2 linked regions of the Macaca mulatta genome follow. The protein of the gene in region 2 purifies or fractionates together with the protein of the main gene of each other region. This does not show direct contact. Links are inferred from orthologs where the notes say so. Each region holds a gene or a part of one and is shown on either strand. Other genes may lie near its edges.

Region 1 (10,965 bases), on a different chromosome or scaffold from region 2:
AACATACCTACAAAAAGGAAGCTTGATTTGCCTACTGTATTCCAATGCAAAATGATTTTACAGCTCTCATTCAAGATTGGAAATTACTATTCCAAATAAGAGTATAACTTAGGGTATAATGTCCTTGATCTTCACCTACATTTAAGTAACTTTGATTAAAAAGTATAAACTTATGAAGTACAAAGACACAAAGGAGTTCCCTCCATCAATTCTGGAACCCAGTAACAAGCCTAATTTCTTACCACTCCAAGTGCTATTCTTTCCACCTCTATAGTCTTGATTTTGACCTTTCTCTCCGGTATAGTACAGGGAAATAGATCGCCCATCAATCTCTGTTCCCTGCTTTTCCTCAAAGGTTTTCTCTGCATCAGCTTCTGTCTTAAATTCAATATAAGCAATCCTGCAATGGAGGGAGAAGAACTCATGGTTTTTAAAATCACATTAACACAAATGCTTTTATACCTCAGCAACACAGAACTTGCTTCAGATCTGAATACAATAAATGCCCTTAGTTTTATGCTACTTTTCAATCAAACTTGAGCTTCCCTCTTACTTCCCACTACAGTTTTACAAATACTCAAAATTTTTTCACAGTAACCTCACCTCACTGAACTACTACTCACAAAATATTTGTTGTAAGCTAGGCACATTTCTTGCTCCTTTATATGTATTACCTTGTCTTTTAAAATCACCCTATGAGTACGTTATCCCCATGGTACAGATGGGTAATTGAGGCACAAATTTACAGGTTAAACTGCCCAAAATTACACACCTAAGAAAATCAAACCAACATTTCTTTTATAAAGCAGGAATGTGTATTCATGTTAAGAAAACCCTTACATTTCAATAGACAGAACATACCCTTTACTTTTCCCATCCTTGCTGACTAATCTGATCTCCGCAGCATCTTCAAACACTTCTTTCAATTCATCCTGAGTAACTTTGTAAGGGAGATTTTTAGCCAAAAGCGTTCTCGCATCTCGCTCTAGATTAAAAAAACAAAAATGAGCTCCATGGCCTGAAAAACCAAAGGTGGGGGGCAACAACAAAGAGGGGGAAAAAAAAGACATAGCTCTATTCAACAAATAATTTGAGATCCTATAATGTACAAGGCTCTGTGCCTTGGAGATATAGCAGTGTCAACACACAAGTGGTCCCTCCATGTTGTCACAGCTGATGTCAAACTATCCGCTGGGTACACTAGAGTTCAACCTGGAGTAGATGCATATTATTTTTAGAAACAAAAAAGGTGAACGTACCAATTTAAAACATTACAACATTACAACTGTACATAGAGAAATAAAGTAAAGGATGCAAACAGTAATTAGGGACCTAATCTAGTTTCAGTGAAGACCCCTTTACATTAATTTAGGTGCATCTAATAATTCGTGTTCTGTATAAAAGTGCTCTTGCTTGCCTAACTCAAGAATTTACACTGTAACACTAGCAAGCAGTGCCAAGTACTCTTGTAAACACCAGCTCATTTAATTCCCACATTAAGAGGAAACCAAGGGGAAAAAAAAATTTAAAGAGAGGAAACCAAGGGAAATGGGTTACAAAGCATTTTCCCTAGCAGTCTAGCTCCTGAATTTATTGCATAATCTCCTAAAGCCTTACATACCCTTCTTACTGTCTTTTCCTTTTGGTTTCTCTAGTTTAATTTCATTGCCAAAGACTTTCAAACCAGTGAGTTCCAAGGCTTTCTCCAGGTCTTCAGCAGATTCAAAATCCACATAACCAAATTTCCTTCAAGGTGGAGAGAAGGGCAAAATTACAACAGATGAAAACACAAACTGAAATCCACAATATGTATTCTAGACAAATGTGATGATGCAAACAAAGATCACATTTTAAAAAGCACCCCTAATATTAGCAAAACAAAGTCAAGGCTCTGCAAATTGTAGCTACAGAATAAGGTCTCAGTACGGAGATATGATGTGCACATTCACGTTTGAGGTCATCATCATTAGCTAAATTGCTTATAACAATTCACAGTAGCAGCTGACAAAAGAACACCTGTAAGCACTAATACAGGAGAATCCTGCCTGGATAAAAGCATTCACTATGATGACTAGTCAGGTCTAATAGTTTCAGGTACTTCCAAGAAAATAAACATCAAATTATTATTATTTTAAACTGAGACAGAGTCTCGATCTGTTGCCCAGGCGGAGTACAGTGGTGCGAACTTGGCTCACTGCAACCTCCGTCACCCAGGTTCAAGCGATTCTCCTGCCTAACACCAACACTGGTGCCTCAAGACCCCAATTTAGGCTGGGCACAGTGGCTCACGCCTGTAATCCCAGCACTTCGAGAGGCCAAGCTGGGTGGATCACTTGAGGTCAGGAGTTCGAAACCAGCCTGGCCAACATGGTGAAACCCTGTCTCAACTAAAAATACAAACATTCGCCAGGCGTGGTGACGTGCACCTGTAATCCCAGCTACTCAGGGGGCTTAGGAAGGAGAATCATTTGAACCCGGGAGGCAGAGGTTGCAGTGAGCCAAGATTGCGCCACTGTACTGCAGCCTGAGCGAAAGCCAGAGTCCGTCTCAATAAAAAACAAAACAAAACAAAAAAGACAAAAAAACTTACTAAGATTATTCTGTGCTATACCAAGTTACAACTGACTGGAAATTGCAATCCAGGGACTCTATAGTTTAATTGTAACTTAGTTCACTAATGCTAATCCTTGAAAATGTTTACACTATTCATGTTTAGGAGTGGCAGGCTAAAGTAACTGTGCTAATAAGGGAAGGAAAAGTATTAACAGACCCATGTGTATGTAATGTGCATGAAGCACTTACCTAGTCATACCAATTCTGACATCCACAACAGCAAGATCATTTTTAGCAAAAACATCGCTGATACCAGTTTTTAACTCAGGAGCAGATTTGTTAAAGTTTAGGTTTCCAACAAAGAGATTGAAAGCCGTAGTCGGTTCTGTGCCTATACAAAAAAAGCTGAACTCAGTCTACTTGTGAAGTGTGGTAAAAAGTTAGTTTCCAAAGCAAAATTTCTATACACAGCACATCAGCACACTGCAATGTAACATCATGTTTCAGTATTAAGTCCCTTTGTCATTCATCATTTGTGCTGTTTATCTCCCCCACATCCCCTAATTCTGCAAGTTACCTTCCACTTTCTGTTTCTTGGCTTCAGGAGCTGCTTTCTGTTTGGCCATTTCCTTCTTTCGTTTTCCAGGTGCTTCTTTGACAGGCTCTGGACAAGATGTCAATGTATTACCCATCAATAGCCACAAACACTTAAGTGCCTCCTTTAAACAACTCATGTCAATGTATGTCAGAATCTAATTACCTTCCTCCTCCTCTTCTTCCTCCTCATCTTCATCATCATCATCTTCATCCTCATCATCTTCATCGTCGTCATCATCCTCGTCCTCATCATCCTCTTCTTCATCTTCATCCTCAGCCACGTTCTTGGCTTTCACAGGAACAACTTTTGCAGCTTTCTTTCCTTTGGCTGGTGTAGTCTCCATAGCTTCTTCTTCAGAGTCTGAAAGATAAGCCACCTAAAAATTGCAGCAATCTCCCAAAACCAACATCGGTTTTAAAATCTAATGCAATCCTGTCACCATGTTTAGTTAATAGTCATGGCAAGAAGAGATTACTTGGGGCCAGGAACAGTGGCTCACGCCTGTAATCCTAGCACTTTGGGAGGCCAAGGTGGGTGGATCACCTGAGGTCAAGAGTTCGAGACCAGCCTGGCCAACATGGTGAAACCTCGTTTCTACTAAAAATACAAAAATTAGTAGGGCATAGTGGTGGTCGCCTGTAATCACAGCTACTTGGGAGGCTGAGGCAGAACTGCTTGAACCCTGGAGATGGAGGTTGCAGTGAGCTGAGATAGCGCGCCACTGCACTCCAGCCTAGGAAACAGCAAAAACTCCCATGTCAAAAAAATTAAAAAACAAAAACAAAACAAAAAAGATCACTAAGAAACAAAATCCTACATTATGAAAAACACTCACAGAATGTGCTGTTGAAATTTTCTCAGGAGGGACAAAAATCATTCATGGGTAATTAAGTCTAACACACAACAGCCCAGAGAATTCCCACAAGGACTCTACTCTCATCTCCAGGTTGTTGTGGAATATGTTGATCCCAGAATCTCAAGATATCTTGCAATCAGAAGCCCAGTAACTACCAAGACAACTCCTTACCATCTTCCTCATCGTCATCATCCTCATCCTCATCATCTTCATCATCCTCATCATCCTCATCCTCTGAGGCAGGGGCAGCAGCTGCTGCTTTCATCACTGCTGGTTCAATTTCATCTTCATCCTCATCTTCGTCCTCATCATCCTCATCATCTTCCTCACTGTCATCCTCCTCCTCTTCATCACTGTCTTCCTTCTTGGCATTCTTACCATTCTTTGCCCCCTTGGCTGGGATGGCAGCACCCTTCTTACCAGGGGTTGCTACCAATGCTTTGCCTGGTGTGGCTCCCTTCTTGCCAGGTGTGGCAACTGCTTTGGCTGGTGTAACTGTCTTCTTGGCAGGTGTTGCTGCTGCCTTTTTGCCTGGAGTGACAGCTGCTTTCTTGGCTGGTGTGGCAACTGCAACCTTTTTTGTTGGGGAAACTACCACCTTCTTTGCTGAGGTTGCAGCAGCCTTCTTGCCTTTCTTCTGAGGTATGACAACCTTGAGAATAAATGAAAACCAAACCAGTAAGTCCAGCCCCACACCCAAAAAGATAACCATGGTCCCAGTGAGTGTTAGATTCTGCCAATGCTTCTGGTTCAAGACCACATGCGCTAGACACATGTTAGCATGTTAAACTCCAGGCTTCTGTTATGTTGTCTTAGGTCAGAGCCCTTATTATCAGGTGAATACCCAGCCATAAGGAACCCTTTTGAACACTTAAAATACCTCTGAACCAGACCTCTGAATTCTTGCACCTCATATTTTCCCAAACCCCAACTTTCTCATCTGAAAATGGTAATAGTATCATATTACACGTATAACAATAATGAAGTGCTATGCGTAAATTATTCAGAACCTTACACCTAGGAGGCTCCAAGCATTAACGTATTAAATCATTTGGGGCTCCTATGGTGGATGGCAGTACTGAGTCCAGTGAAGCTCAATTCTTGGGACCTGAGATAAAATGAAGATCAAATAGGCTAAACCTAACTATCCCTTACAAAACTATCACACATCAAAGAGTGAGCATGTTAGTTTGATAAAAGCCATCGTTTAGCTACATGAAAATCCCATAGTTTTATTAGGCAATGTGTGGAAGAATAAAACTTTTATTCAATTCTCAACGAAAAACCTGAGCACAATTCAGTGCTCAGATGTCTTTACAGTGAGCAAATAAAAGGCCAAGACTGCCAAAGAGTAAAGAGGGTCAATGTTAACACAAAGAGGTGGCAGCCCTCAGTCTACACCAAAGATAACTATAACGCAGTGAGTAGAATTACAAAGTTTATATATAATGGAATGGAGACCAATTAATCTTAATTGGAGGCTAGGAAAGGAATCTGGGAAGGTTATCCTCAGATCTGAATACAATGCCCAGCTCTACATGTCGGGGTGAGGCTAACATGTTGAAACTGGAAAAATTTAATGATTTAACACAACAAATCACACTCCTTGCCCTGCAGAGGCACATGGAAAGGAGATCCCCAGACCTCTTGTCTCAAACTCACATTCAAATACTTAGCCAAATGACACCTTGACATGTCAGTGAAGAGCTTGTGAAACCACCACTACAATAGGACATACCTGGATGAATAAAATCTTATTTTAGCCACAGACATCCAATTTCATGTCTTAACTCTCCATTGTTGTAGTTTTAACACAATTCTGCATTAAGCTAGATAAAATTACCTCTTCTCCACTGCTATCATCTTCTTCATCTTCTGACATTTCTTCATCTTCACTATCTTCTTCTACCTCCTTTGGAGGAGGAGCCATTTTCTTGGGGTCACCTTGATTTTTACCTGCCTAAAATGGACACAAGTAGGTCATTACACCTCCACCTCAACATTTCAGGCCATTCATATTTTGCCATTACTGTTCATAGTAAAACGCCATCATCTCTCCTTTCTCAGATCCATTTCTCATAGTGCCAAACAGCACAACATCAAAACGAGTCCTGATGGCAATGCAAGATGGACTACTCTCAACCGCCCACAATTTTCCTCCCGGGCTTCACAAACAGAAAACCCGCCCGAAGGTAAGAAGTAACTACCTTGGTTTTCTCATGAACATTATGCTTTTCCCAGCAAGACAACCCCGCCCCTTAAAGAGGCGGCGCGGCCACGTGGGGGTACCTGGTAGGCCACCACGTGCCCGAAACACGGCGCAAAAGGCACGCGGCAGAGCCACCTTCCGGGGCCCACCACGTGTCGGCTTGCCAGGCCAGGACTCCGACTAGGGCCGATACCGCCATTTCCTGGCGCAAGGCACCGGTGCCTCTGGAGATTCCAGGACCTACGCGGCGCGGCCCACGTGGCAGGCCGCGCTCCCGGGCACGTGCGTCAGGAGTCGGGTCCCGACTCGTATGCGTCGCAGGAGTTTGGTCTCATCTCCCCACCCCGGGGCCCAGCGCCCCCTCCCCGCGCTCAGTGACTCCGTCTTTCCCGCCGCGTTCGCCGCCCCCAGCACCTGCAGAAGCTCTTCACCTCGCCACCAACTAGCCAGAAGCCGCGAGACCTCCCCACTAATCGCGCGAGACTTCCCGCAGCATGGCGCCCTAGAACGCGCCCGGGACTGCGCGCAGGCCCTCCTCCCCGCGCCGCCGCGCTCGCCCCTCGGAGAGCAGGCCTAGACGTCTGCGCTCGCGCTCAAGGCCGTTTACCTTCGCGAGCTTCACCATGATGGCGGCTTATGGCGGCGGAGTGTGGAGCGGAGAAGTGGCGCAGATGAGTCCAGAGGAAGGCAAGCGACGGCGATGGCGGCCGCGGGTGCTGAAGATCCCGGAGCACGTACACTCGAAGGCCAGCGAGAGCTCGAGACTGAGGCGAAAGACTGAGCCTGCCCAGTAATCGCCTGTGGAAAGGCGACGACGGCGCCCTCGTGACTCCGTGCCGACCAACCAGAGCTCGCGGCAGTCCCCCTGAGCCAATCGCGAGCCTCTAACCGAGAACGGCGCGGGGCGGGGAGTGGGCGGGCCGAGGCGGCCACGGGAGGGGGAGGGGCTGGCAGCCGTGCCGTCGGGGCGGGGCTCGCTTTGTGCAAGGCCGGCGCTGATTGGGCCGTGGGCGCGCGGGTCCCGGCCTGCGCCGTGGGACTGGCGTTTTTGGCGCCGGCTGTGAGGGGACTTCGGGGGTGGTGGAATCGGGCGGTCTAGGGATCTCCAATGTGGCTGGCTCCCTAGGCTCGGGCAGCCTTGGAGTTCCTCAAAGACCCCGCGCGCGGCCCCGGCACGCACTCACGCCGGCGCTCCCGGTGGCCCTGGAGAAAGAAGCCCGCCAGCCCCGGAAGTTCAGGGACCGCGGAGTTCCCGTTGGCCCTTTCGGAGGCACAGCTCAGCCCTGCTTGCCCGCGAGCATGGGACTGGAGACACCCCCGGCTGCAGGCAGTCTTCTGAGAGCCGTTAAAGGCAGTCGCGGGTCTGTGCGAGGTTTTTCTGTGAGAAATGCACGAACCTCCCCTACCCCACAGAACCTCAGGCGGGAGATATTTCTCGTCATGGGGAACGGCCTCGGAGAAGTAACTTTCTGGCCTCACAGGGCAAGGAGAGGGGCCTGGGCGGGCCGACCGCAAAGCCGGGCCTTTGACCGCCCACAGGTTCCCTGGTTGTTATTTGCGTCGAATGCGCCAATTAAGGTGGTGGCTGCTAAGTCAGTGTCACCAGATGGCTCGGGAGCAGGTCGAGAGCCACCGGCAGGGTTCCCCGGCGGCAGGGCGAAGGAGGCCGGAGTGACTTCCACGGTTAGCTTTGAGGGTGGGCCTCCCTCGATGCCGGGCTTAGCAAACCAGAGCATTTCCCTCCGTCCAGGGCCTGCCTGGGATCCATCCAATCCATGGGTCCAGGTATGGATCCATCCATACCTCATTGTTCCTACAGAACCAGGATACCTGCAGCTACGGCGGTACTTGTTAAAAATCACCTCAGGCGGGGCGCGGTGGCTCAGGCCCGCAGTCCCAGCACTTTGGGAGACCGAGGCGCATGAACCGGGGAGTCGGGGATTGCAGTGAGCCGACATCGCGCCACTGCACTCCAGCCTGGGCGACAGAGCGAGACTCCGTCTCAGAAAGAAAGAAAAGTGTTTGTTAAGGCCAGGCGCGATGGCTTATGCCTGTAATCCCAGTACTTTGGGAGGCTGATGCAGGAGGATCGCTTGAGTCCAGGAACTTGAGACTGGCCTGGGTAATATAATGCGACCCTGTCTCTACAAAAAAAATAATAATTAGCGGGTGTAGTGGCACTCGCCTGGAGCCCCCGGCTACTCGGGAGGCTGAGGTGGGAGGATCGCTTGAGCCCAGGAGGCGGAGGTTGCAGTGAACCGAGATGGCGCCATTGCACTCCAGCCTGGGCAACAAGAGCAAAACCCCATCTCAAAAAAAAAAAGAAAGAAATGAAAATTATTTGTTAAATGAGGAAGTATTTAGGTAGAAGCAGCAGCAGGGAGAGCTGGCATGGCTCAAGTGGCGTTGCTTTGGAGTTAGTCTGGGGCAGCAAAATAGCAATATCTAACACTTTATAATGCTGATTCAGTGCCAGGCGCTCTTCATATATTCATTCACTTACTCTTCAAAATAACCTTTCCAAAAAGTTATCACTGTTTTATAGAAACTGGGGCATAGAGGTAAATTAACTTGGCCAGGGTCACATAGCTAGCAGTGGAGGTGTAGGATATAAGTGAAGACACTGCTGTGTCATCCCAGTTTCTTTTCTTTTTTTTTTTTTTTGAGACAGAATCTTACTCTGTCACTCAGGCTAGAGGGCAGTGGCAGGATCATGGCTCACTGCAGCCTTGACATCCCCAGTTTTATCAATCCTCCCGCCTCAGCCTCTCAAAGCACTGGGATTATAGATGTGAGCCACGTCTGGCCTGTTTGTTTTTTTTTTTTTTTTTTTTTGAGACGGAGTCTGGCTCTGTCGCCCAGGCTGGAGTGCAGTGGCTGGATCTCAGCTCACTGCAAGCTCCGCCTCCCGGGTTTGCGCCATTCTCCTGCCTCAGCCTCCCGAGTAGCTGGGACTACAGGCGCCCGCCGCCTCGCCTGGCTAGTTTTTTGTATTTTTTAGTAGAGACGGGGTTTCTCCGTGTTAGCCAGGATGGTCTCGATCTCCTGACCTCGTGATCCGCCCGTCTCGGCCTCCCAAAGTGCTGGGATTACAGGCTTGAGCCACCGCACCCGGCCTGGCCTGTTTGTTTCTAAATGCTTTTTTGTTTTGTTTTGTTTTGAAAACACGAGTTATTTATTGAATTGTAAAGTACACACATAGTGCAAAATTCAAAAGATTCAAACAGATGCACAGTAAAAAGTCTCCCTCCCCTCCCTGTCCCCTAGGCCTCCCAGTCTCAAGGCAGTGCCAGTCTCTTGTATGTCCTTCCAGATTCAGTTGTATGTGCAAATAGACAAGTCTATTTATTATATTTAATACAAACGCTATCATATACACTGTTCTGAACTCTCCTTATTTTGTGTTAACTATATGTGTCTTGTAACTCATCCTACATCAGCACATGTAGAGCTGCCTCATTCTTTTTAATAGCTACATGGCGTTCCTTGTGTGGAAGGATCACAATTTATCTAGTCACCATTGCTGGACATTTAGGGTTGTTTGCTATGTTTGGCCATTACAAACTGCTATAGCAAATATCCTCACTTGCTTTATTTTACACAAATCATATCTGTAGAACAGCTGGGTCAAGGGTATGGTCTTTTACATTTTCATAGATGTTCTCCCAAGTGCTGTCTTTGGTTGGGGTTTTCCATGGCGGTTCCAGCCAAGAGCGATACCACCTCCTCCAGCCAGCTCAGGTTATCTGTTGCCCCTGAGCTCCAAGGCTGGGAGACAGTGCTCCACGTTTTAGCAGAGGAGGAACTAGATGGTGGGGAGAGGTTTGAGCATGGCTGTAATTCTTGTGGGGAGTGTGACTAGTCTCACATACCAACCCAGATGCTCCAGGGGTACCACTGCCTTGAGTGGCTACTGGCTGCTTCTTCAGGCCTGCATGGACCCAGCCCAACTCTGCCTGCTGCTGTGGCCTGGCTGCTCCCCACGATACCTGTGTAGTGAGGCACCCACTTGGGGCACCCATGGGTACTTCTGGCCCCTGAGACCCATTTGGCCATAGTGGGCCTCATACTTGTGCTAGAGTCTGACAGCCCACTGGAGGGGGTCTGCAGGCTTCCAAGGATTACCTCCACTTCCCAGGACTGGGCTTCTAGGAACTAAGTGTCTCGGTTAGGCTCCAGCTAGCCAAGAAGAATCACATTGGGTATTTTAAAAAGGGGGAGCTTAGCGCAGGGACGTGGTGACATGAGGGATAGAAGTGCTGAGAAGTTGAGGGTACTGAGCAGGAAGCGGCTGCCCTCTACTCCAGGCTCTTCCACTGAAGGCTATAAGGGCCCGGGCTGATGCCAGGGAAGCTTCAGAAGGTCAGGAGGTGGGGTCATCCTGTGTCTCCCCTGCTTCTCCCCCTGAGTTGCAGGTGAGGCTGGCCTGACCCAGCCAGCATCCAGCTCACAAAGCCTGCAGGGTGAGTCCCTGCCATGGAGGCCGAGCAGGGCAGGGCTGGACACCCCAGCTGGCCGGGAGGGAGTTCACAGCCTCAGCTTCCAGAGCTTCAGGTCTGCCTGAGTGCGGAGGCCTGGGGTGTCTGCTGTGAAGTTCCTTTTACCAGCCCAGCCTCCTTCTGTCTTTTGGGTTCGCTGAGGCCTTTGGATACTGCCCAGAACTTCCCCAGCACTTTCCCCCAGATGTCAAAGGGGGAACCTAAGTTCTTCCTCCCTTGCCAGGCCTTGCTTGGTGTGTTAGCAAGTCTT
Region 2 (11,008 bases):
GCTGACAGGAGAGGGGCGTGGGAGGGAGCCGGGATGAGGCCTCGGGCCGCTGGGACCTCGGGGTCTGGAGCGCATCGGGACGCAGAAGCCGCCCTGTGCGGCAGGAGTCCAGGGGGCCCCAGGTGGGGCAAGGGAGCTGTGAGGGGCTCGAGGGCGGAAGGAGCCCCATGAGGAGCGACCCTGGGGCTGGGAGAGGGCGGCGAGGCGCGTCCGTACTCAAGGCCTCGTCCCGGGTCCCTGGAACAGGCAGTGCCGCTGATGGCGGGACGGACCCAGGCCCGGAGCACCGCAAGACAACCGGGTACGGGCGCAGCGCGCAGGGAAGGGTCTGCGCCCCGCGCGCCCGCCCCCGCCGGGCTCACACTCACCTCAGCGCCGCGGAGCAGCACCGCCACCCAACCTCGCCCGTTCGGCCCTCCCGCCCCGCCAATCGGAGCCGATCCGGAAATGACGTCAGCCAACTGTCCGGGTCCGCGGTGCCGTCGGGGCCGCTCTGGGAAGCTGGGATGCCGCGTCTCGGCTGCCCACCTCCCTGGCTCGCAGTAAGGCTCCGGGGACCCGCGAATGGCAAAGCCGTAAAGCAGAACGCTGCCACCGGGTGGCAGTCCGAAGCCACGGCCCGGAGGCCTCAGAACTGGGGCGATGGTCAGAGTCGAAAACATATTAGTCTTTCCCTTTTTCTGATAAATTATCTCCCTAATGAGCCACGAAAGGTGCCACAAACTAGAAAGAACTAGGTCCTTTCCTTTACAGAGAAAGAAACGGGAACCGCACCCTTCCTTGGGGCTAAGAGAGGATGCTTACTGGCCCAAGAAGCCTGTCTTGGGTTTAACCCATGGCCCCTCATCCCTGACTCCTGTAAATGGAGCCCAGTGTCCACTCTGGAGAAAAGGTTTTCGGGTGCCTGAGCTGCTTCTGGAGCAAACTTTCCCTGACGGCCGGTCCTTCGGCCAAGCCCTGCATCCACTTTGCCCAGAAGGGAGCAGAAAAGCAGTGACCGCTCATGGCGAAGCTAAGCATCTAGTGCTTTCCCAAGACCCTCTTTCTAGATGCCCCTCCATCCTTCAGGAGGAAACACCGCCCTCCTGGATTCTTTCTCGACCAATCACCTAGGACCCTGGGACCAGCCTTGCGAATGACAGTGTATCTAAACCAGGTCCCCTAGCTACTGGCGGGGGATGGGGGTCAGGGCTGGAGTGGGAGGACCACATGAGGCCAGGGGCTTGAGAACAGCCTGGCAATAGCGAGAGCCTGTCTAAAATAAACAGGCCCTGCTGGGTCACTGCCTAGGTGTGGTGGGCGCCCAAAGACAGGTGCAGCCATGCCAGCAGGATGAGGAAAGCAAGATCATGAAATGGGGTGTAAGGTTCACTCTAGAAACAGTGTGGACCATGACAGTCAGGGGCCACCGTGCAGCCACTTAGGAATTGTCATCCCGGAGTGACCATGGAAGCCTAACGTGACCTATTCTCACCTGCCAGGTGCTCTCCAAGTCTATAGGCAGAGCACACCGTGCCTCATTCTGCCTGCTGTAGTTCCACAGGAGTGTTGTTAGGGGCAATAATCTGCAGCTGCTCCATTTGCTGGTGGAACTTCCTTGTGTGAAAGCGCTGATAGGATGCTGTCCTGGGATCTCCTCATTGTGGTTAAGGGACAAGATACCATGGGCTATGGCCAAACAGGAAGCCCCTCCACCTGCCTTGTGACGGCAATTAGCTTACTTGCCCTCCCATTGCAGAGGGGCAGTTCCCTGACACTTCCAACCTGATTCCACTCACAATCACCACCCTCAGCCTCACTTGTCACTACCAAAGCTAAAAAGAAGGAAGGTATCTGCCCCTGCCAGTAGGGAAAGGCCATGTGCTCAGAATAAGGTAATCAATGCAGCTTTGGGGGCTGTTCCTGGTTAGTTTCTCTGCAGTGTATGGGCTCTGGGTGGATGGGTGAAGGGACTCTTGAGTGCTCTGGGATCCCCATACACGCACTGCATACATTCATCCCTTTGTTCAGCAATACCAGCAGTGACCTAGGACCCCACACTCAATCACCACCTCAACCTCACCTGTCACTATCAGGCTAGAAAATGAGGTAAGGCATGAGGCTCCACCCACAGGAAAAAGCACCCAGAACCCTCCAGTCAGTGACTACTCTCCACCATGGTAGGGTGGGAATGCATACAGGGTGCTCCCAGTCATCTGCAGAACAGAATGGTAAAGGCCAGGCTAGGAATAACTTCCTGGCTGTAGACAGGGTGTCTGTCCCACGTTCCTCCAGGCCCATCCCAAGTTCTCAGTGCAAGACACCTGCAAGCCCGGTATCCCTGGCAGTGACTTTACAAAAACACACTGACATCAGCAGGACTGTACCCAGTATGGAGGGGAACGATGTAGCCATAAGACCGTGGGCAAAGGAACGCCTCAGGTGCTGAGCAAGTTAGCAGTGAGCCGGCAGAGTGAGGGTATGGTCCAGAACACCAGGCTCATGATTGTGTCCTGTTTCCTGTTCCTCAGTTTCGTTATACGTGAAATGAGTGCTTACATCCAAGCACTGCAAGCCATGGTACTGAGTCACCCACCTAAGGGTCTTGGTCCCCTCTGTGGGGAAGCAAGGGTCTTGCCCAGGGTACCTGCACCTCACTTCTAGTTGGAGACTTTTCCTTCAAGCTTCCACCACTCATTGGTGGTCTACTCCAGTAGTCTACCTTCCTCCCAGTACCAACGAGGGGGATCCCACAGAAATCCTCCCAGCAGGGACCCCTCCCTTTGAAACTATGGGGGTGGGCACAGCCTGGTGGCATAAAGACAAACTTTATTGAGGCTCTCAGCACTAGTTCTCTTTCTCCTGCACAGTCTTGGTTCCCCGGAGACGTCCAGTCCGGCGGGCAGCAATGAGACCCACTTTGCGGCCAGCAGGGGCATCTCTGCGGATGGTAGAGGGCTTGCCGATGTGCTGGTGGTTGCCACCTCCGAAAGGATGCTCCACAGGCTGTAGGCAGAGGAAGATGGCTTTAGAATGCGGGTGAGCCCACCTCCTTCAGGAGGGTTGGAGCAAGATCAACAGTCCTGTGACTACAAACCACCACCCACTGCTCCTCCCACTGCAGATGTCCCTCCTGCAGGGCCACCTGTGGATGGGACTTGCCTACTCGTGTGGCCATGGTACCTTGAATACCCAATCCTGCATTTCTGCGTTACTTACATTCATGGCCACACCCCGTACTCGTGGCCAGCAGTTCCTCTTTGCCTTATATTTGTGGTAGGCCCGGCCAGCCTTCAAGATGGGTTTGTCAATTCGGCCACCTCCAGCCACCACACCTGTAAGGGAGATCAGGTACCTCAGGGAACCTCTAGTCGGTCAGAGCACCCCCACCTCCTCCCCTCAATCTCCTGTCATGCACCTTCACAATACTACATCCAACTACCCAGCAAAAAGCCCACTCGCCTCCACCCTAGAGAGCCCCTTGCACCCTGTAGTTTCTTCAATCCACACTGGGCAGTCAAGCCAAGGCCCTCACCTCCATCACCCAGAATGCTGGCTGAGCTCCAAGCGCAGGGAAGCAACCCCCTCACCATGTTTGAGACATCCGACATGTCACTCAACCTGACACAGGACACTTGATTCAGCCTGCCCCATCTCAGCGTTGCTTATTCCAGGAATACAACCTCAGGGCCTCCCCTGTGCGAGGCTGAGTTTGTAACAAGGATTCCAAGATGTTCCCAACAGCACAGCGAGTTAACCGAGACTCAAATCCTCCTTCACTCACTCAGTAGGTGATTTTGAGAAAGTCACAAATCTCTCCCTGCCTTATCTGAAAAGGCTGTTAACCAAGTACAGCAATCAGGAAGCCCAGACTAGAATTCAAGTCCCAAGTGACTTAATCCTAATCTCATTTAACGCCACAATAGCAGTAAGGCAAGTACTATTGTGTTCATTTTACAGTGACGAAAACTGAGACTACACAATAACCTCAAACTTACAAAACCCAAATTTTGAAACAACAGGTAATTCCAGGAACCAAGTCTAGCCACTGGCTGTCCGCCGGCGCTCACAGCCTGTTCACCCAACAGCCCTCAGCATTCAACTACTGCCTGGTACTCACCAACCACAGCTCTGTTAGCTGAGGAGATAACCTTCTTGGAGCCGGAGGGCAGCTTCACACGGGTCTTCTTGGTCTCAGGGTTGTGGGAGATAACGGTGGCATAGTTCCCTGATGCCCGGGCCAGCTTGCCACGGTCTCCAGGCTTCTCCTCCAGGCAGCACACGATCGTACCCTCAGGCATGGTGCCCACAGGGAGCACATTACCAATGTTGAGCTGGGCTGCAAGGGGAAGCAGCATCAGGCCGTCAGCGCGGTAAGAGGTAATGCGACCCCACTCGCTCTAAGCAGCCCGTGAAGTTGCGAGCACAGCATTCAACATCCAGCCTCCCGGTGCAGCTCTCTGAGTACCCACCGGTGCCCACCGTAGCCACTGGCCTGGCCACGCGGTGGCCCACCCCAACTTTCTGCCTGCGAGGTTCCCACACCGGTTTAAGACGTTAACTCCTCAGACAACACCCAGACCTCTCCCCACCCCGACCTTCCTTCCCCGCCGCGATGCTAACCCTTCTTGCCGCAATACACAAACTGTCCCGTGTGAATGCCCTCGGCGGCAATGAACAGCTCCGTCCGCTTCTTAAACCGGTACGGATCCCGGAAGACCACCTTGGCGAGCGGCGCGCCGCGGCCCGGGTCGTGGATGATGTCCTGCGGGCAGGGGCGGCGTAAGTGCGGCGTTCCGGCCGGGAGTCCCGTCCCCTCCCGCCCCGCCCTGGCCAGCGTTCCGCACCTTCACGATGCCCTTGATGTAGCCGTGCCGCTCGGCGAAATCCACGGCGCGCAGGCGCGCAGCGCCCTTACGGTGCTTCACGTGCGCGCGAAACACAGACCCGGCGCCCTTCCTCTGTCCACGGATCACACGGCCCATGGCGATGGGTCCTGGGGGCGACTCACGGTTAGCGCGTCCGGGCGGCCCGGGCACCCCCGCCAGCCCGGCTTTCCGGGACCCCGCCTCCAAGGCCGCCGCGCGCACCACCCCCTACCCTCTCCGCGGGCGTCCGCACCGCCATCCTCTCAGGAGGGCCGGCCCGCGTCTCAGCGCGCCTCAAGGAGGAGGATGGCGGCGGATACTGCCCATGCCGCAGCGCCGCATGCACGACCTACCAGCTCACTAGCGCGGCCGAAAGAGGAAACGCGGTGTGCGCGAGCCGCCTTATCTTCCGGGGCGGGGCCCAGGGCCGCGACACCTTCCGGGCGCGCCACGGCCAGTCCAGCGCGGTGCACGCCGGGGCTTGTAGTCACCAGTGGCCGCCGGCCCTGCCTACTTTTCCGCCGCTGGGGCCCCCGCGCAGGCGCACCGGGAGACGCGGCGCGCGAGGTCCTGCTGGCGCCGGCTCTGAAGGAGCGAAAGAGTGCTCGGCTTTCACCGGGGTCTCCGGGAGGGCAAGTGTTCTCTGAGTGGTCGAGGAGGCGCCGAGTGGTTGAGTGAACTGTGCAGGGCGTCACAGATCGACCCACTCCGGGCCACGGGGTCTGGGGCTCCCGGCTTTGCCTGGTGAGGGGCTTCCGTGTAGGCGGAGGGGTTCTCGCTGATGCAGAGCAGGAGATGGGCAGGGGAGACGCTTGTACCCCCTCGTGGAACGTCGTGGTTTGCAGGTGGCAGATGACCGTCTCCCTGATGGACGGGCGCTGCTGGACGCGGGGACCTTGTCCACTGTAGGCCCTTGGAGAGGTCGGGCGTCGAGGAGAGGAGCCCGGGGATCCTTGCCGAGGGTGAGGGCCGGCCGGCCCAGGAAGTGGGGAGGGCCAAGCTGGAGGGTCCCGGGGCGAGGAAGAAGGAGCGGGGATGGGCTGGGTCACATGCTGCGGGGAGAACGAATAATAGGAGACTGGACCGTACCCTGACCAAATTCTGTGCGGGAGAGGTGGGTGGGGAAGGAGCAAGAAATGGAAACTGGGAGGGGCAGTGGGGGCCTGAGCTGGAAAGAGTCAGCCCGACTGGGGGTGTCCAGCGGCACATGCTGGGGAGAGGGGCTTCGCGAAATCGGGTCCCTAAGGGGTGGGACCCCGAGGCTGGGGGCGGCGGGTGGTGGGGAAGAGGTTTTTCAGGAGAGAGCCCCTGGCTGAGTGAGCACTGTCGGAGCACAGGCGAAGCCGTGGATGAGGAGGCAGCAAGGAGGTGAAGGCAGGGGTCCCAGTGGGTGGGAGAGGCTTGCAGTCAGGACTGGGAGGTGGGGTATTTCCTAGACCCTGTAGGGGCTCTGGCATCGTGAGAAAGAGAAAGGTTGACATCGTGAGAAAGAGACAGGAGAGGGTGGAAGGGGTGTCCTGTGGCCGCTGCTGCTCATAGGGGAGAGAAGGGGCTGCTGAAGGAGGCCCTCCCCTAGGGTTGGCAGGGGGATCGAGGAGGAGCTGCCGGGTGGGGACCCAGGAAGCAGCCCAGCCCACAGCAGGGCCAGGGGCTGAGGGGCAGGACTGGACCCCAGGGGCAGGGTGAGGAGTTCTGGGATCAACCCAAAATTGGCCCACAGGCCCAGCGTGTCCCTCACTCCTGAGCAAATCTGCTTCTCTGCAGGAGCAGAAGGAGAGTTGGGTGCGGGATAGAGGTGAGAAGAGTGCTTGGACACACAGGCTGTGGGGTTCCCCAAGATGGTCTCACGGGTCTCTGGGATGAGATGCGGCTACCAAGATCCTAGGTGCAGCCAGGAGGCTGACCAGGCCGCTTTAATGCTCGAAGAGACATGGCCCTGCCAGCATCCACCCGACAGTCCTGAGGACTACATGACTAGGCTCAGTCTTGACCTGGCACACAGCAGTGGCTGTGCAGTTCTAGGTCACTTGACAGCCACTCCAGGTGAGGCCGCAAGCACTGGACATGAGGTTTTCCAGCCTTCTGGGGTGGAGCCATCTTTCTTGGGGCCAGGATTAGGCTCTCCCCACACAGCACCTCTGCTTGTGCTACCGACGTCACCCCTAACCTGCTTTTCAAACTTTATTCTTAGAAATTATTTATTTCCAGCCAGGTGTGGTGGCTCATGCCTGTAATCCCAGCACCTTGGGAGACCGAGGCGGGAGGATCACCTGAGGTCAGGAGTTCGAGACCAGCCTGATCAACATGGAGAAACCCCGTCTATACTAAAAATACAAAAGTTAGCTGGGCATGGTGGCAGGCACCTGTAATCCCAGCTACTCAGGAGACTGAGGCAGGAGAATCACTTCAACCCAGGAGGTGGAGGTTGTGGTGAGCCGAGATTGTGCCATTGCACTCCAGCTTGGGAAACAAGAGCAAAACTCCGCCTCAAAAAAAAAAACATTTTCCTTTTGAAATTGTTCTTCAAATGTTTCTTGTCACATACATGCAGGAGTAATTAGGTATAAACATGAGAAATTGTGATGCTCTGTCTTGCTCAGCTTGGCTCCTCTCCCCCACCAGGATTATCTGCCTGCACCCCCAATCCCCCACAACAGATGTGTCCTTATCTCCCTGCCCCCCCACCGCACCCCCGTAGCATAATTGTATCCCACATATGGGCACACCATCACATATGGCTAAAATGGGATCACTCCGTAATAAAAGGAATATATATATATATATATATATATATATATTTTTTTTTTTCTTTTTTTTGAGATGGAGTCTCACTCTTGTTGCCCAGGCTGGAGTGCAATGGTGTGATCTGGGCTCTCTGCAACCTCCGCCTCCCAGGTTCAAGCAATTCTTCTGTCTCAGCCTCCCGAATAGCTGGGACTATAGGTGCACACCACCACGCCCAGCTGATTTTTGTATTTTTTTAGTAGAGATGGGGTTTCACCATATTGGTCAGGCTGGTCTTGAACTCCTGACCTTAGGTGATGCACCTGCCTTGGTCTCCCAAAGTGCTGGGATTACAGGCGTGAGCCACCACACCTGGCCAATACAGGGTACTTTTTACGGGCCAGGGACTGATCTAAGTACTTTTCATGCACACTGCTTTTTTTCTGAGAGGGCGTCTCACTCTGTCACTCAGGCTGAAGTGCAGTGGCGCTATCTCAGCTCACTGCAACCTCTGCCCTCTTTGAGTTCAAGCGATTTTCCTGCCTCAGCCTCCCAAGTAGCTGAGATTACAGGCACCTGCCACCGTGTCCAGCTAATTTTTTGTATTTTTAGTAGAGATGGGGTTTCACCATCTTGGCCAGGCTGGTCTTGAACTCCTGATCTCATGATTCACCCATCTTGGCCTCCCAAAGTGCTGGGATTACAGGCATAAGCCACCGCACCCGGCCTTATGCACACTGCTTTTCTAATTTAGTGTCTTACAATTCTGGAGCTATGTCTTGTGAAAACGTATTTCCAATAAGGTTCTCTGAGATAGTTTTCCCATGTGCTTTCAGTGCCTCAGGGGTGGGATTGCCCATAGGAGCCCGTTACCCATTCAGGAGTGGGTGAGGGGAGACCCCAGGGACCAATGCCAACAGGAAGAGGTGGGGTGGTTGGGAGGATGGAGATTGCACATGCTTGGGGACATCTTGAAGGTGCAGGTTAAAATTTTTCCGAGAGGGGTTAAGGTAGTGTATTGTGAAGCAACGGGTTAGTGAGTGCTAAATCTCCATGACCCCTGCCGTCTATATGGCTTGGATGCATCATGTCAACCTGACATAAAGCTGTGAGTGAACATTCTCTAGGACCCCACATGTGTGATTAAATAGTTGGAAGTTTTGGCATCCTTTTACAATGAGAGAATAGCACAGGATTTACATAGAATTTTCAGATATCCGGCCGGGCGCGGTGGCTCACGCCTGTAATCCCAGCACTTTGGGAGGCCGAGGCGGGCGGATCACAAGGTCAGGAGATCGAGACCACGGTGAAACCCCGTCTCTACTAAAAATACAAAAAATTAGCCGGGCGCGGTTGTGGGCGCCTGTAGTCCCAGCTACTCGGGAGGCTGAGGCAGGAGAATGGCATGAACCCGGGAGGCGGAGCTTGCAGTGAGCCGAGATCGCGCCACTGCACTCCAGCCTGGGCGACAGAGCGAGACTCCGTCTCAAAAAAAAAAAAAAAAAAAAAAAAAAAGAATTTTCAGATATCCAAGTTCACCATAATACCCATATTATCTGAAAGTATGTGCCATGGCCCTGAGGGGAGTCATGATCCCTTCCCCAAAGATGGTTGTGGGGACAGAGCAAGTGTCTACCAGTCCCTCCTGCTGTACCCCGAATCTGAAGAGTGCCTCTGTCCTACCCAGCCTGTGCCTCACTCCTGAGCAGATCTGCTGTCAGCAGTGTGAATGCAGGAGACACCCTTGGTCCCCCAAAGAGTCTGAGGAACCTAAGGGCATCCAGTCCTGGGACAAGGATCTAGGTAGACATCACACAAGTTTAGGACCACCCATGTAGAGTGCTGGGTTGAGCCTACTTAGACAAGTGTCACCCTCCTGACCCAGTTTCCCCTATCCTTGTGAAAAGGAAGAAAATGATGGTTCCTGGTCTGTCTTGTGCTCAAATCTGACCCGGCTCCCAACCACCTGTGGCTCTGGACGAGTCCCTTATCTTCTTTGATCCTCATACCTCCTCCCAGGGTACGGTTGCCATTCAGGGGATCTGAAAACCTAGAGCGTGTGTGAAACCATCCCTAAAATGTGTGTGGAGGTGAATGGCAATTTTTCAGCACACCAAGTTTCATGAATTGAACTGTTCTTCCCACTTGCATGATGGTTTCACACCACAGTTTAGTGGCTAAAGAATATGTGACTTGAAAAAAATTATTAAATTTTTTTAAAAAAGAATATGTGACTTGGAGCCAGGTCTGTGGGTTGGATCCCAGTTCTGTTACTTAAGAGATGAAACCTTGGCCAGGCACAGTGGCTCACACCTGTAATCCCAGCACTTTGGGAGGTCGAAGCGGGCAGATCATCTGAGGTCGGGAGTTTGAGACCAGCCTGACCAACATCGAGTAACCCCGTCCTTACTAAAAATACAAAATTAAACAGGCGTGGTGGCGCATGCCTGTAATCCCAGCTACTGGGGATGCTGAGGCAGGAGAACCCAGGAGGGGGAGGTAATGGTGAGCCAAAATGGCGCTATTGCACTCCAGCCTGGGCAACAACAGCGAAACTGTCTCAAAAAAAAAGAGACGAGACCTTGGCAGATAACAGGGACACTATGCTCTCCTCATTTTAGTATGGGAACAGTAGTATTTTGATATGATTACCGTGAGGATTAAATTAGTAAATACAAAGAGCATACAAATGTTTACAAAAATCACAGGGCTGTTAGAAGTCAGAATGACCACCCTTATGTGCAGACAGGAGAGGTGGTCTGAGAGTGATCAGAGGGAGCAGCAGAGACACTTCAAGATTCCAGAAACTGTTTGGGTGCGGTGGCTCACACCTGTAATCCCAGCACTTTGGGAGGCCGAGACGTCGGGTCACCTGAGATCAGGAGTTCGAGATCAGCCTGGGCAACATAGTGAAACCCCGTCTCTACTAAAACTACAAAAATTAGTCGGGCGTGGTTGGAGGGCGCCTGTAGTCCCAGCTACTCGGGAGGCTGAGGCAGAATGTCGTGAACCTGGGAGGCGGAGGTTGCAGTGAGCCGAGATCACGCCATTGCACTCCAGCCTGGGCAACAAGAGCGAGACTCAGACTCAAAAAAAAAAAAAAAAAAAAAAAGTCATACTAAACAATGTCATAAATTTATATAAGAGACAGACCCCAGCCCGATGTCCCAGCTCCGCCGTTCCTGCGGGTCCAGGAATCGATCCCGCGCCGTGCTCCCCAACCCCCGTAGGCCACCCGGAGGCAGGGAGTGGGCGCAAGGGATGAACGTTCGCCGCCTCCTATCCTGGGGGAAACGGAGCGCCGAGATCGTCGACGCTCTTCCGCGCCCCTGGGGCCTGGGACTGATACCCGGTCTCGCCCGGAACCCCCGAGGCGCGCCCCTCGCTGCAGCCCTGGCGAGCGCCATCGAGGTGCGCGGTCCTCCAAGCCTCCCAGA

The links.
Region 1: the proteins of RPL8 (region 2) and NCL purify together in Homo sapiens (affinity purification with mass spectrometry; 3 studies listed by BioGRID and IntAct, with this or other methods). This does not show direct contact. The link is inferred for Macaca mulatta from reciprocal best matches to the Homo sapiens genes RPL8 and NCL.

The regions. Positions count from the first base shown.
Region 1 is NC_133417.1:136,716,017-136,726,981, forward strand, and holds the start of NCL (nucleolin), read right to left. Parts: upstream 6,983-10,965; 5' UTR 6,842-6,982; coding exon 6,824-6,841; exon of another isoform or gene 6,631-6,823; intron 5,968-6,630; coding exon 5,851-5,967; intron 4,660-5,850; coding exon 4,179-4,659; intron 3,512-4,178; coding exon 3,314-3,511; intron 3,218-3,313; coding exon 3,131-3,217; intron 3,094-3,130; exon of another isoform or gene 3,024-3,093; intron 2,945-3,023; coding exon 2,803-2,944; intron 1,747-2,802; coding exon 1,622-1,746; intron 986-1,621; coding exon 862-985; intron 401-861; coding exon 243-400; intron 1-242. UniProt on the Homo sapiens protein: Nucleolin is the major nucleolar protein of growing eukaryotic cells. It is found associated with intranucleolar chromatin and pre-ribosomal particles. It induces chromatin decondensation by binding to histone H1.
Region 2 is NC_133413.1:155,213,741-155,224,748, forward strand, and holds RPL8 (large ribosomal subunit protein uL2), read right to left. Parts: upstream 5,175-11,008; 5' UTR 5,080-5,174; intron 4,976-5,079; 5' UTR 4,965-4,975; coding exon 4,827-4,964; intron 4,745-4,826; coding exon 4,603-4,744; intron 4,319-4,602; coding exon 4,100-4,318; intron 3,315-4,099; coding exon 3,199-3,314; intron 2,986-3,198; coding exon 2,827-2,985; 3' UTR 2,792-2,826; downstream 1-2,791. Other genes in the region: uncharacterized protein LOC144330927, read right to left, coding at 5,460-5,899, 10,725-11,008. UniProt on the Homo sapiens protein: Component of the large ribosomal subunit. The ribosome is a large ribonucleoprotein complex responsible for the synthesis of proteins in the cell.